Alligator mississippiensis: one gene and its partner. The protein of the gene in region 1 purifies or fractionates together with the protein of each later gene. This does not show direct contact. Links are inferred from orthologs where the notes say so. Each region holds a gene or a part of one and is shown on either strand. Other genes may lie near its edges.

Region 1 (8,139 bases):
AACCCCCTAACCACAAATGTCAACTTGAAAAAAGTGTGCTTTTTCTAGGGGTGCACCAATAGAGATTTTTGGGCTGATACTGATAGCCAATATTTAAATAGGCATATCCGCGGATACTGATACAATTTCTGATACAGCTGCCTCCAGCTGGTCAGTCCAGTGTGGTGGAAGAGGGGGAGGGAAAGGGAGGGGTGTGTGTGGGGGGGCATAGATCAATGGCCCCCATGGTGAGGGAGGGGGCAGGGGCTGCCCAGGCAAGGCAGGGGCACACCAGAGCTGCAGCTCTTTTGGGGGGAAAGGGGGGGGTGGAAAACAACATGCAGCTCCTGCTTTTGCTTGCACCCTGGGAGGGTGTGGCATGGGCCCCCCAGATCCACGCAGGGGCTCTTCTTGGTGGGGGCTGGACTCTGAGTGGGCACCGACAGTGCTGGGAGGATGCTTCATCTATTCCAAATTTTGCTGCCGCTCTGCTCCCAGTGCCACTGCCACCAGCCATAGCCCCGGCTCTTCCCTGCACGTGGGTGGAGGTGAGATGTTGGGGCAGGGCTGTGCCAGTTAGCTGGCAAAATTTGGGGTGGATGCAGTATCCTGCCAGTGCTGCCAGCACCTGCTCCAAGCCCAGCCCCCACTGAAAAGAGCCCTGCACAAACCCAGCTGCCCCAATCGGGAGGGGTGGGGGGGAAGGAGGACATGGCCAGGACGGGGACAGACATGCCCCTCCCCCACAGCCCTCCCAGGGTGCAAGCAGCAGTGGGAGCTGCCTCCCCCTGACAAGCTGTGGCTCTGGTCCCACCCCTCTCCCTCACCACAGGGTAGGGGTGGTGGTGGTGGTGGTGTTGATCTGCCCCTCCTGTCCTTCCCCTCCCTTCCCCCTCTCCTTCCACCACACTGGACTTCCCAGCTGGAGGCAGCTCTCCACGCTGAGGGCTCTACTCCTCTCTACTCCTCGCTGCCTGAGTGCTGTTCTGCGGCTGCGAGCAGCACGGGCATTTATCAGCCAAGTTATTGGCCCCATCAGGCCAATATCCAATAAAGTACCGATCCAATATCAGACTGATGTATCGGTGCACCTCTAGTTTTTTCGTCTGAGAACACTTCATCTTATTCAAATGGCCTACAGTTTGGATCAGCATGGGCATATATCTACACTACCTCTGTGACAAACCTGGGAGTCCTGCTAAAGAGGATTACCTATCCACTTGCTCTCACTCGCCATGCACCAAAGACCAGAAATTATGCCAAGCCTAGCTGTGTTAACAGAGCCCGGAGAATAAGCCCAGAGCTGCTTTCAGGTTCTGTCTTGGAGGAGCTTCTTGGTTTATGCTCATGCAAAGGCAGAGCAGAGCTGCACCTTGTAGATTAGTTAAACCAGAGATGCATAAGCTTTTTTAAACAAAGGATTTCCTTCATCAGATGATATGAACAGACTGCAAAAAGCAGAGCTTCTAAATAGAAAGCAGTGATTCGAATAAAACAGATACAAAAGAGAGGAAAATGGAGAGGGCACTGCTGTAAAAAAAAAAGTCACAGAATAGAGAATAACACAAAGCAGTTAACTCATTACAGGACATGGGGTTATAAATGCTAATCCAGGTAATGGGACAACAGTCCCTATTTATGCTACCCAATCTCTGGGCACTGGTGCTTTCTGAGCAGGTTGGAGTGGGAAGGATTTGATGGACAAAAAAAAGAAGGTGGTTGAAGAAAAATTTAGTTTTCTTCCTCTTTTGAGGAAGAAAAGAAAAAAAACCTGTTCTTTAAACAGAAATAAGTTTCTCATTTCAACTTTAGCAGGAAGCCAGCTCTGCTCTGAAGGGGTGAAGGCAGTTACCAAATTCCACATGAGATTAGCTCAGGAAGACCCTAACGCAGGTCTGAACCCCTGCCCAGGATCACAACACAAAAAAAGATCCAGCCACCCAGGAACCTTGGTTATCCACTTAGGAGCAATGGTCTCCCATCTTCACTGACCCTTCTCCAAAGGACATCATTTGTCTCGTCATCTCCTCAACCTGTTTTCGCTTTTTGACTTTTTGTAGCTGTCAGGAATATCGGACAGCCTTGCAGGCTCCCATGAGGTATGGGTTAGGGCCCACTGCTTATACACCGAGATACAGATGAGGCCACATGCCAAATAAAATAGAAAAGGGAAATATAATCTTTTCCTTGAGTGTAACAGCAGACTTTGTCACCACTACCCCAGTTTTTGTGTACCATTTTAACAGGCACAGATACTTCTCCCAAGCCAAAAGCCTTTTATAGATCATTCATATTCAATCTGCTCTAAAAGTCAACATGCCTTGTAAACTTGTGTTTTGATACCACGCGTGCCTTACACTTATTTAAAGACAACAGGTGCAAAATATCCCTCCAGCCTTTTTAAGTGCCAGAGGCTTGCTACACCCAGGCTAAGAACATTGCAGAAACATACACTGCACGGACTTGGGGGAGCCTGCAACCAAGAGAAAGAGAGGGAGAGGAAACAGGGGGAGGACAATGAACCGCACTGGTTTTGTAAGTACTGCGGGTCGGGGTGGCGGCCCGCGGGCCCGGCGGAGGAGGGAGCGGCTGCGTGGAGCGGCGCTGCCCCGCGCGGGACCCCACGGGCTGCGAGCGCGCCGGGGGGTGGGGGCAAGGCCACCCCTCAACGGCGCTGCCTGCCAGCCAGCGCCCTCGCGGCGGAGCCCAGGCCTGGCACAGACACCATGGCCACGTGCGCCCGGGCCTGGGCCCGAGCCCGGGCCCGCGCCAGGCCGGTCGGAGCAGGGCCGGCGCAGCAGGCGGAGAGCGGGAAGTGGGCGCCGGCGCCCCGGCCTCCGCCCACACGCGGCGCAGGAGGAGCTCGCCACGCCGGGGCATCAGTCAATGCGGAGCCGCCCGCACCCCACGGCAGAGGCCCCGGCCCGAGCGCGGCGACAGCGCTCAGCTCCCGGCTCGCCTCCTGCTGACCTTGAAGATAGCGTAGCCGGCCGCGGTCTCGAACAGCACCAGCATCGTGCGGCCACGTGTCCAGCCGCTGCGGGCTCGGCTGCATGCGAGCCACAGTCCGGAAGTGCGACGGCCGGAAGTGAGCAGCGCGCGAAGCTGGGGTGGGGGCGGGGCTGGGTGTAAAGTGGGCAGGGGGTGGGGTGGGGAAGATGCATTTCCGCTTCTTCCGCCTGGGCCTAGGCTTTTCCCAGCTTACGTGGCGGGAGGTGGAGGGTGGTGCTAACGTCACGGCCCTCTGAGAGTCGTTAGTCTCGTTCCCCTGAAGGCGGGGCGGGGTTTCGGCGCCGCCTCTGCAGCCGGAGGACGAGGCGTTGTCCTTGCTTGTGGCGGCGCCCGGAGGGCCCCGCGCAGCTCTCGCCCTTCTCGTCCTGGCCGTGGGAGTGGGGTTTGGGTCTCCCCTCATAGCCGTCTTGGCCCACGCGCCCGCTGCCTGTAGCTGAGACCAGGGCAGCCCAGCCCTCCTGCCCGCCCCCCTGCTCCCCCGGGTGGTTTTGCTTTAACGCGTTCAGATAAAAATGGCTCATTTTGGCTAAGATCAAGTGTACTCATTCCTGGCCTTTTATAAGCTAAGAGCACGTGTAGTCCACGAAGGCTCAGGACAAGCCTAGCGGCTTCTTAACCTGGCAGGGGAAATACCACGTAACTGTTCAAGTAGGCAGCTTTCCTGGACTGCTTCACAGGGGTACTGCTCTTCTGGCATGGTCCAGTCCCTGCCGAGCTGCAGCAGCTTTAAGCCCACTTCATGGAAATGGGAGTCTCCTCCTGTTTGCTCTGAGGGATTTACGACTGAGGGCAAGCGAAACTCAGGGGCATCCGAACCCCAAGCCTCGGGGCTTGGGCCTGCAAGTAGGATGCCCGCTGCAGGGTTTGGAAACGTCTGAAGCCCCAGATGGGGATGGAGGATATTTGCTGGTAGTAGGGCCACTTATGGTTTTGGACTCTTGGATTTGAATTTGGTTTTGGCTAATTCGGCCTTGGATACAAATTAAATAAAAATAAATAAATAAATAAAAAAATTCTTACCTGGCGGAGGAAATATAATCACCAGGCCTCTTGTGGGCTAGCAAGTGGTTTTCCGAGGCCTGTCCCTTGTTGCACTCCAGGCACCCCCAGACCCCTGTGAGTTTCCCTAAATGTAGGAGACTTGACTGCAGAATCTTGTGGTAAAGGGGGACTGCTTTTTTGCTTTCCTCCTGGTTTGCTCCTTGACTTTTTGGCTAAGAGCAAGCAAAACTAGGATGCATCTGAACCCCAGGGTCCCTGGGTTGGCACATACCATGTTGGCTACAGATTTGAGGAGTATCTGAAGCCCAAGATGGGTGATGTGAGGCTAGGAAGGAGGATACTTGCCCAGTGGTAGAGCCACATGGACTTGAATGATGGCTCTGCTCAGTTGAAACTTGGAACTTGACTCTTGCGTTTTGTCCAATAGAATTTGGAACTGATTTGGCTCTTCTTCCGTATGGCTTTAGGAGCAAGAGCTGTCGTCACCATTTTAATTCCACATTTCCCAACCAGACCAATGCCCTGCTGGAAAGTAAGTGCAACTCCAAGACGTCTTCCTCAAACTTGTATCTGGGGCAGGATGTTATTATGTGCTCCATGGTTTGGTCAGGGTTTCCAGTCTCAGCCAGGGGAGGTTTTGAGGTGCTTCTACTTCAGATGGCCACACCAGCCAAGTCTAGTGCATATCCTATTAAGGGTTGTCCATGTGCTCTATGGAAGGTTGAAGCTTGGTTGTTGCATTGTTGGGTTGGAAATGAGGTGTTTGTTTAGGAAAGTGTTTTCTGCCCATGCTTTCCTCCGAGGTTCTTCAGTGTTGTGGTATAGCAGGTGCTCGGTTAGTGTCCAAAAGGGTTTTTGTGAGATCATGTGACAAGTTGGGGGATCTTGAAGGATGATCTCTGTGGATGGGAAGCTCCAGATTACTATTGATACACATTATTTCCCTGTATATTGCTGCATCCCATTGAACAGAGGGAGGAGTAATGTATGAAATTACTGGCAGCCACTGCACTGGAGTTGATATCAAAATTCCAGAGATGGTCCTCGTTACTGAGAAGAGTTGTGTGTCGGTGAATTTGGTATGTCAACTTGAGGCCCAAATGGGTGCACGGTACTCAGCTGTTGAGAAGACCAGGGCTTTGGCAGAAGTGCAGAGGGTGGTGGCTTGTGCACCTCAGCTTGTGCTTTTGTTTTCATGGCAGTCTTTCAGAGATGATAATGGTAGGTTAGGAAGCAGTCAAGGTCTACCCAAAGGTAGGTAGGAGTCAGGTTGTGACGCACTTTTTCTTTACAAAAGGTGACATTGAGGGTGTTATGTGCCTTGTGATTGTCAAGATGGAATGTGGAGACAATGAACTTGGTTGGATTTGGTTGTAATCTGCACTTGTGGAAGTATTCAGCCATTATTGATAAATCAGAGTTCAGTGTGGCTTCGATAGCCTGAAAAAAATTTGCTTGTGTGGTCAAAGTGATATCATCGGCTTAGGTACATTGATGATGTGTAGGGCATATCACTTGTATAGATATTAAAAACTATCGGTGCCAGAACACTACCCTGTGGCAGGCTGTTGTTGAATATTCTTGGAGTCAGGCTGACCTTATCTCATAGGTAGATCTTCATCCTTCTGTTGCTCATCAAAGTCAACAGCAGCCGAAGTAATTTGTCACATGGTAGTAGCAGAGACAGTTTGAGCATCAGTCCATGTTCCCACACAGTATCATAAGCTGAGGAAAGATCTGTGAAGGTGGCCCCAGTCTTTAGCTTGTGGTGAAAACCAGTCTCAATGTAATGATGGCAAGGACTTGTTCGCAGCAGCTACAGTGGGGTCTAAAGCCAGCTTGCCTGTTCTTGGGGGAGAAGTAGGTTGATGATGGGGCTGATTCTTAGAAGGATGAGCTGCTCCAGGAACTTATAGGTTGTGCAGAGCAAAGAGATGGGCCTGTAGCTCCCAGGGTCATGTACTAGCTTTCCTAGTTTTGGCAGGGCTATCACCATTGCCTCATGCCAGATTTGTGAAGTATGGCCATTCTCCATCACAGTTGAAAAGAGCCAGAAGCCATTGTTTTGCCAGTGGGTCAAGATGGTGGAGGAATTCTGGTGGAATACCATCTTTCCTAGCAGCTTTGCCCTTCTTTGTGGATGCTAGGCCAGCATCCAGTTCCGCAGGAGTGAAACGGGGTGGATAGTGACAGCCTTGTTATGGCCCACCCTATTAAGCAGTTTCTTGACTTCTTTAATTTCTTGAATCTCTGAATTTTTTAATTCCTGAGTCCACAACTAATGTCACTGGAACAGCAACTGAATGCTTTTAACTGGCCTCCTGGTCAGTGAAGCAAAACTAAACACTTGACATGATTACAACAATCCCTTTCAAGACTAAGCACCCCCAAATTTTGGCCCTTGATCCAAAAAAAAAAGAGAAACCCATTTTCTTTGTTTAATTGAATGCTCCTGTCATGCAGCTGTTTAGTTCTTAATTATTTCTCCTTTTAAAATGTTCAAATTGACCTTCAGAATATCTTGTGTCAATACATGCTCTTGGGCCCCTGCAGCACGTAACATTTGTTGCACAATAAGCTGGTGAGTCAGTCACGCCATAAATTTATACCAGATACACAGGCAAAATAATTCTCACACCAGAAAAATGACTGTCCCATTATAAAAATAGCTGACCAGCTGAAAAGCTAGTGCTTGAAAATGTCTAGCAACTTGATAGCTGGTTTCTATCCAGAAATAATTTGAAGGTATAACAGTGCCCTGATGTATGTGCTTGTGTGTGTGTGTGTGTATTACACTGCAGCAGTCTGGTTCAGCTTCATTGGATGACCAGATTGGCATGTCCTGAGTTGACCTTTTGGCTTAACAAGTTACTGATATGGAGTTGCACTTCTCTTGTTAACAGGCAATCCAGGTGAATTTGTGTATGGACTAGAAATACTTGTCCTAGTTTTTTTTGCTTGGACATGGTTACATTTATGCACATTCAGATCTTGAGTGTTAAGTTGTATGTGAATGTATGGCTGCTCTTCCTGCACAACCTGTAAAATCAACATGCTTTTTCAGTACAGGGGAATGTGGCCAAATTGGATTGCTTTCAAATGTTCATTTGTTCCACCTAATGGTTCACTGTGAAAGTGCATCCTTACTATGTATGATGGTACTTGACCTACTTTCCTATATGCGTTGAATAATTTAAAGGCTGAGTATTAAATGATAAAATAGAAGGGGCCTAAATCAGCCCTTGCTTTAGGTTACCTCCCTTGACTTCATCTTCAGTATTACCTGAATAAAGGAAAAGATTGGGTTCCCAGTACAAAGGGAAAATGAAGGAAGATGGGTTGGGGAGGGGGAAGAAGTTAAGAATCTTAAGAATTGGGTCATACTAAAGGTTGTGTAGCTCAGTGGCCTGTTTCTGACTATGGTGAATACTGGATACATTAGAGGAAGTGTATAATAAACAGCATAGAGCAATCCCTCCACTTTCATACCTTCCAGTCACCTTAAATAGGTTGTGTCCTTGACTGTTCTATTTAATAGACTCCAATGAAGCTATCATCCCTAAACTCACCTGTTCCCTTTGCACTATTGCCCCCCCTCCATCAATGTGGCAGTGAGTTTCACATGTTAATTATGCAGTATTTTTTAAAACCTGTTGCCTGATGATTTCACATGCAGTGAGGCATAGTAAATAACAGTTCCCTATTTACTTCTTCCATACCGTTCATATTTTTATATACCTCTTTAATTTCTCTCCTTGGTCTTCTTTTTTCCAAGCTGAAGAATTGCAGGCTTTTCAGCCTCTCTTCAGATCCTGTTTATCTTCGTTATCTTTCTTTTTTACTTTTTCCTGTTCTAGCATGCCCTGTCTGAGATGACGTGGCAAGAATTGCATGAAGTATTCAAGAGGTGGGTGCACCATGGATTTATATAATGGCATAATGGTTTTCTGTTTTGTCTTCCATTCCTTTCTTAATGATTCCTAACACTTTATTTGCCCTTTGGATCAACACTGCACACTGAGCCAATATTTTTAGAGCACTCTCCACAATGGTGAAGAGTTCTTTCTGATCCTATGATAACTTAGTCTCTTTGCTTTTAGTTAGTGGTCCTCGTCAAAAAAATATGAAAATCTAGTACATTATATA
Region 2 (7,360 bases), on another chromosome or scaffold:
TATGTTGCCTGTCCAATCAGTCTTTCCTCAAGGTAGCACCTGTGACAGGTAGGGGTTCTCCTGGTTCCTCCTGCTCTGGAGCTCTTTTCACCGCAGCCTCCAGGGCCAGACTGCCTGCTCTGATTCAGGCCCTGGGTTTATATGGCTGGAAGCCATGCTCCATTTGGTCATGTGACTCCCTGAGCTGCCTCAAATGTTTCCCTAGTAAGCTTGCTGACAAGGCTCCAATGCAGCTCACCGCTCCTGGCCTTGCTGCTGCAGCAGGGCCCATGCTTCCCAAGCAGGATTCTTCCCTGCTAGATTATCACAGAATAACCAGCTTTGATAGGCACTCCTAGCCTCTGCCTCTTCCCCTGGCTGATTATTTTCCTTGCAGCCAGCTCTGGCTGCTACTGTTTTCTCCTCAAGTAACAAGAATCTTCTGGCTCTCCATTACACCTCCCCAAAGCGTTTTTCAAAACAAAATTCTTTCCATTTGAGGACTGATGGTGCTGGTGAACTGATCCACAGCACTCTGTAAGCAAAAGGTCCTATTATTATTTCACAAGTGTTATATAACAAAGGGACAGAGAAGAAATCTATTTCCCCGAAGTTAAACTTAACCCAGAACTGTTTAAAGCATACAAAGCCACCAGCTACACACTATTAAGCTACAAGATCTTTTGAACTATTAGGTACAAAGTCTACATTGCCCCTAGTCTTTATTAAGGGAAACTAAATACCTGTTAAAATTCAGATTACAACTCTCAGCGACCAGCAAGGTAGAACTTCACTACAGTTTCTTGCTTGAAGTGATAGAAGTAGAGCAAATGGCACCTAAGAATTACTCCTATTGTGGAACTGTTTTCAATGGAAGAACCATGGGACACTGGACGGAACAATGGGATGGAAAAACTGCATTTAACTCAGATCTGGAGTAGGAAATCCCTTAATATTTCACACAGGTTTCAAACCCAGATATGCTTTCAGCATCAGGGTCACCAACAGCCAATCCCATGCAACTACAGGCAAAAGTTACAGATTTAACTGGGACCTTAGCTTTACCTCTTAATCAAAAAGGATACTAATTAGCACTAGCACTATACTCCTTGTCTTAGATCCCAGTTAAGGTAAAAGTACTGATTCTAATGCAAATATTACCAACTGATACCACCCTTGTAGAACACGGATCCCCTCTAGAGATCTTCCATTCAGACACTGACCATGACAAACTACGGTGAGGTTACAAAATCAAACACCAAAATGAAAGAACGTTGACAGAAGGCCAAAAACATTACTTTAATATAGACTTCCTAAAAATAAACAAACCCAACCTGTGTGTGCTGTGCAATGTGTTCATCATACTTTTCTTGGTTTTTAAAGCCACGGTCACACGTATCACAATAGTGAGCAAAATCTGGTTCTTTTTTCTTTTTGTTCTGCCAAAAGAGAAAAAAGGGGGACAGGGTTAAAGAAATTGATTAAAAATATTGGCTCTTATTTTAAATAAAGTAACATGCTATGAAGAAAGCGTTGAAAATATTTTATATCAATTGGAATTTCAATACTCCAGATATCTGAAATGCAGCTTAGTCTGAAAAGTAATTTTAAATCAAACTACCATATTCCACTTCTCTCAGCTTTTAAAGTCAAATAGGTTCCGTTTACTTTTCTTTTTAAAGCATCAATGCTACCACCAACCCATCCCAAGCTTTGAATATCTAGGTAGACTGAAGATATCAAATGAATCATGAGAAAAAGATTCTTGCAGGAGGCCAGCCCATCTCAACAATAAAGAAGCACCCCACGATACTGAATTTAGGCTTACAGACACATCATGGTGCATGCGCCATGTGTTTCAATTGAGAGTACTCTGTACTTGAACTACACCTGAGGCTGCATGCTCGACATAACAATTATAGTGAGTACCTTCTGTTTGTAGTTTCCACTGCCAGAACGTCTGTAATACGGGGGTGTTTGCTCAGCTTGCCATTCTGAGGCAAAATGGCAGCTTCCACCTTCAACAACACCAGTTACCAAAAAACAAAAAGAAAATTAAAAAGCAGCAATTATAAATTAAAAGTGATAAAAATGCAATGTGAAAATACACCCTATTTCCACCAGGATTATATTTAAGGGAAGGGGGAGCAGAAGAAGAGTGCACAGCCTAAGTTAGCGCTTTTCAACCTTTTTTCATTTGCGGACCCTTAAAAAAAATTGAGTGGGGGTGTGGACTCCTTTGAATTGTAAGCTGGGTATTCGCATACTTCCGATTGATCTCATCTTCTACAGATCCCTTTTAAATATTGTACAGACCCCCAGGGCTACAGGTTGAAAAGCTTTGACCTTAGTTATTGGAGCCAACCTTTCCATAGAACTGCATAGAAGTTGAGCCTGAACGGACCTCCAGAGGTCAACCCCGCCCAAGGCAGGATCATCCCTAATTAAAATCAACCAAAACAAATATATAATCTAACCTCTTTGGAAAACTACTGCCAACCTTTATGCAACACAAGACATCGCACCCTAACCTGCCACAGGTAAAGCAGATGGACTGCAGCAACCAACATCCTGCTTCTGTAAAAGGTTGCCAATATGAACTCAAGAGACCCTGGGTACAGAGAGGTCTGCACCCCACATTAGAGAGGAAGGCAAAACCCCCCACAGCCCTACCAATCTGACCCTGGGGTAAAATTCCTTCCTGCTGCCAAATATGGGGATCAGTCTGACCTGAGCAGAGAAGCAAGACCCTCCAGCCATGAACCTCAAGGTTTATGCCCCAGCAGGAGCACTGGCACACCCCAGGCACAGGCGGTGCCACCAATCAGCCCGAGGGCTGCTCCAATCCCCTTCCCAACCTGCTCTCTGCCCCCGGTGGGATCAGCCACATGCGTCCCATGCACGGGCCACCCCCAGCCTCTGTAACTTGAGACAGCCAGAGCTCGCAGGACGGTGTACGGGCAGCGGCTCCAGGTGCCTCAGCACTGCTCCTCCCGCCGCGTACCTGGGGGCGGGCCCGGGTGCTGCTCCCCGTAGCCGGGCGCCGGCGGGGGCTGGTACCAGGCGCCGGGAGGCCCGAAGTCGGCGGGCGGCCCCCAGAAGCCGGGTTCCCAGGCAGGCGGCGCGCAGAACACGGGGGGCGGCGGCGGAGGATACCAAGCGAAGGGATTCATGTCGGGCCCGACCCTTGCTGCTGCCTCCACATGGACCGCCTCGGGGGCCACCACATTGCGCGTCACTTCCGGGCCCGCTGTAAACACCACGTCCCCCCCTCGTGGCGCAGAGCCGGCCAATGGGCAGCTAGTAACGTCATCGGGCGACGCCGGAAGCGCGGCGGAGTCTGGTTGCGTTGCGCTGTGCCGGCGCTTTTGTTATGGCCCGGGAGCTGATCGGGCCGGCGCTGCCCCCGGGCTTCCCGCGCTGCCCCGAGGCGGACCCCGACGAGGACTTCACGCAGGGTGAGGAGGGGGCGGTGGCCGTTGCTGCCCACCAGCCTCTGCGCTCCGTCGCGTTCAGGCCGCTCCCGGCCTCGGAGCGGGGCTCGGCTCTGGTTGTGGCACGTGTGACTAGGGCAGAGGTTCCCAACCCCCGGGCCGCAGCGGGTTGGCGGCCGGGCCGCACGAGGGTTGGCTACCGGACCGGGAAAGGCATCCGACTGAGTATAAAAAAGGGTTGGCTGCCTCTCCACGGTATGCCGGTCACTTCCACACTGCAGTTTGTTGGTCATGGTCGTTTTTGGGCCACAGCTTGCTGGTCCGTGATCTAAAAAAGGTTGGGAGCCCCTGGACTAGGGTGACTGCCCATCCCTAATTGGGCAGGGCAGTCCCAAAATGGGAACTTCAAGCCCTGGTCCTGGGCTGCATGACTCCAGACAGTATTTGTCCCGGATTTGCAGTATTGTGCAGGGATCTGGGTTTTCCATTCGCGGCACGAAGGTGCTGCTTGGGGCTGAGGGGAGCAGGATGCAGGAGGTGCTGTATGAACATGGCTGGGGATACAGCCAGGAAGTGTGGAGAGCAGCTCCCTGCAGGTAAGTCTGTGAGGGGGGGGGAAGGGACATGGTGGGCGGCAGATTGAGACCCCCACGGTGAGGCAGGGAGTGGGCTAGGGGGCTGGCAGCACTGCCCAGGGTGGGACATGGAGCTGGACGGAGGCACGGGTGGTTCATCTGGGGAGGGAGTACAGGGGGCAGCTCCCTGTCACTGCAGGCACATGTGTCCGTCTGTCGTGTCGTGTGTCCCCCCCTCCCCCCAGTTTTCTGCATGGGGTGGAGTTGAATGCAGGCTTGGGGCTCCCTGCCCTGCTGCCCTTCTCCTGGGAGCCCCATGCTGGCTGTACCCCTCTGGCAAGGGGCAGTGTTGGCGTGGACTTGTGCCCTATGCTGCTCCCGGGTGGACAGGGGGCACACAGCCAGTGCAGGGCTCCCAGGGAAAAGGCAGTGGGGCTGGGAGCCCCAGGTTCACAGCAGGCAGCCCACACCTGCGCCCGCTCTGCTTGGCTCTGCTGCTGGCAGGAAGGGGTGGGGAGGAGAGGCAGAGACATGTCTTGCCTTTCCATTTTGAAGTTAAGTCACCCTGCATGTGACAATGACCCTGCATCTGTGGCCAGTCTACGTTTGTGGCACGATTCCCCAGTGAATTATGCCCATGACTTTTTGCCATTCATTGGTGAAGCGTGCTGTAAATTTAGACTGTCCACACACGCCAAGCAATCTCCCACCATAAAAAGGACTCTCCAAAATTAAAAAGAACCTACTGGCTACAAATTTAGTGCTTGGAAATGTGTAACAGCTCTACAGCTGGTTTCCATCCACCTTTCATTTAAACATGTAGCCGGGTCTTGATGCTGCTGGCTCCTGTTGGAAATGTTCTTGTTTATGTTGTGACTTGCACGCAGACACTCCACGTCACCTTGTAAAGGATATTGAGGCAGCCTAGGGTGGTGTGGGACCTGGCTGAGAATCAATGGATCAGGGGTCCCAGATGTGTATACATACGCCCATGGAAAGATGCAGGGTGGATGTAAAGGTGCACTTGCGCCCCCCCCCCCCCCCCCCCCCGCTTCACCCAAACTTTAAAGCCAACTGCGTGTGGGGGTTAGCGGTCTTTCTGTTCAGGCAGTGATGAGATAGTCAATTGACTTCGTGGCTCATTATCTTCTTCCTGAGTCCTGCTAATCTCTCTTCATTCCACAGGTGTTAAGGATTCTTCCTCCCTTTTATGGTCTTGATCTTCCACTATTCAAGCTATTCTTTCTTCTGCCATTTTGCTGTCTGTTTGCCATTCCTGGTAATGAGTCTCTTCCATTTCACAGCCCTACAGATGCTTTTGATCTCTAGCTAAAAACCTTAACTCAGGTGTGGTCATATTAACTCAGATTTAGACATGACTGACAGTGAAATATTTGAGGCACTGCCAAGACATTCAAAAAGGCTAGATTTTGTTTTGTGAATCTGATAAGAGATGTACATTTAACTATAGTGACTGCAGGACTAATGACATGCTATACTTTATTCGTCTAGTTTGTTTTTTTTCAATTGATACATATGCCTAGCAAATTGGTACACATTCCAATAGTTTGCTGTGATCTTAAACTTAATAATATGGCCTAAGGCCCTTAGGATATAAGTAAAGCGTCTAGTTTCTCTTGAACTGGAGAAAATGTGTCACATGGTGATTTATCATGTATTCTGCACCCCACTTTTCAAAATCCTGGATCCATCCATGCACATCGCCTACCTTGGACCTAAATCTCATTTGCTGCACTGGCAATAGGTTGCTCTGTTGTACGTCAGTATTTATTGCTACTTTTGGCTTGCGTAAGGCCATCTTGTCAAATCCTATGCCATTTATTGGAGAGGTCTGTAATTATTCTTAGTAGAAAGTTTAATTGTATGTCTAGAAATAATTAGCTCATCCCTACAAAAGAAGAGCATTTTTTAAACGCACTGGAAAAGTGTGGGTGGTCTAACAGTAGGGTCCAACCAAGGGTGACCAAGGTATGGTCTGCCACCTGTATCTGGGTTGGGGAGCTGCATCATGCAGCCCACAGGGCTCCACACAGGACCAGAAATTTGGCAGCAGGATGAGTGGCAACTGCATTAATTGCCACAGCTCCATGTTCGTCCTGCCAAATTTCTGAACCTCTGGGTAGCCCCTGCAGGCTGGATGATATGACCTTGCATGCCACATCGGGCCTGCAGACCGGTCTCATGCAACTCATCCAGCTGCTGAGCCAAATGAGTTGGACCCTGCTGTTAGACCACCAACACCAGACAAGATAAAATAGGGCATGTTCATAAATGTCTGTGTGTTTGTGCTTGCCTGCATTTGTCTTATATTTGAAGCAGCCACTTCTTAGCTACCAGGATGCATAGAAAATGAATAACTTGTTTGTGCAAGAAAGACATTATCTTCACTGCAGTTAGATGACTTTAGGCTAAACTTCGTTCGTATCTGTGAGAAGATTCTGTGAAAGACGCTCTGGAATGGGAAACACAGCCGTATAATAATGGCTTTAAGAGAGGTGAACTGAATTCAAACTATGTTAAGTACTTTTAAATAATATCACTTTCCTTCTTAGTTTAAAGGCACAAATACACTTATGGGTCATGTATTTTGAATACAGCCATTGAAGAATGTTCTGACCAAGTGCTGTTTTAGTGGAAAGTATTTATTTGTTGAAACTCAAAATTTTCATGGAAATGTGTTCATTTGCACTATACGTTGTTCAGGAAAGGCATCTCAAACCCAGGTTAGAATTTCTCATCAAAATTGGAGAGAGAGGAGACAGCCCAGAGGTTAGGACACTCACCTGTGATGCGATCAATCCTGAGTCATGTTTCTTTTCTGCCCAAGAGGGTAGACACACAGTGCTTTTACACCAGAGTAATTGGACTTCACCCCAAGTAAAAGTGGAGTAGATGCGAAGTATTCAGCCTTACTCAATGGTAAAATAACCCTTCAGAAAGGCAGTTTCATCCAGGGGTCACTGTTTTAACAGTGCAAACCCTCTCCGTTGTCACCTAGAGGCCAAATGCTATAATAACTCCTCCTGCAGACAGTTAATTTGGCAGAGGGAGTCTGGGTTCTATTTATTAAACATAACTTTGATAAACTTATTGTGAATTTATTACAGAGTAAAATGTAGATAAATTACTCTGTAGTGATAATATCATGTGTCCACACCCTTTTTCAGGTTAGCTGGGTTCTGTAGCTACCAGGCTGTTGGCTATTCTAGGATGGGTTTCCTATTGGGGCTGTTAAACTTTGTTTAAATAATATTCACTAAAGCAAGGACTTGAACAACAAAGTTCCCAGCTTAAGGAACTGACACTAAATCTTTTGAGTAATGTTGCATGTGTGAGCATTGCCCTGGAAGT

What was found.
Region 2: the proteins of NOP58 (region 1) and NUFIP1 purify together in Homo sapiens (co-immunoprecipitation; 3 studies listed by BioGRID and IntAct, with this or other methods). This does not show direct contact. The link is inferred for Alligator mississippiensis from reciprocal best matches to the Homo sapiens genes NOP58 and NUFIP1.

What each region holds. Positions count from the first base shown.
Region 1 is NC_081827.1:171,307,792-171,315,930, reverse strand, and holds the start of NOP58 (nucleolar protein 58), read right to left. Parts: upstream 2,995-8,139; coding exon 2,950-2,994; coding exon of another isoform or gene 2,866-2,949; exon of another isoform or gene 2,715-2,865; intron 1-2,714. Other genes in the region: SUMO1 (small ubiquitin-related modifier 1), read left to right, coding at 2,866-3,067, 4,461-4,525. UniProt on the Homo sapiens protein: Required for the biogenesis of box C/D snoRNAs such as U3, U8 and U14 snoRNAs. Part of the small subunit (SSU) processome, first precursor of the small eukaryotic ribosomal subunit.
Region 2 is NC_081824.1:410,873,414-410,880,773, forward strand, and holds the start of NUFIP1 (FMR1-interacting protein NUFIP1), read right to left. Parts: upstream 3,229-7,360; 5' UTR 3,153-3,228; coding exon 2,984-3,152; intron 1,998-2,983; coding exon 1,909-1,997; intron 1,419-1,908; coding exon 1,314-1,418; intron 1-1,313. Other genes in the region: GPALPP1 (GPALPP motifs-containing protein 1), read left to right, coding at 3,353-3,437. UniProt on the Homo sapiens protein: Binds RNA.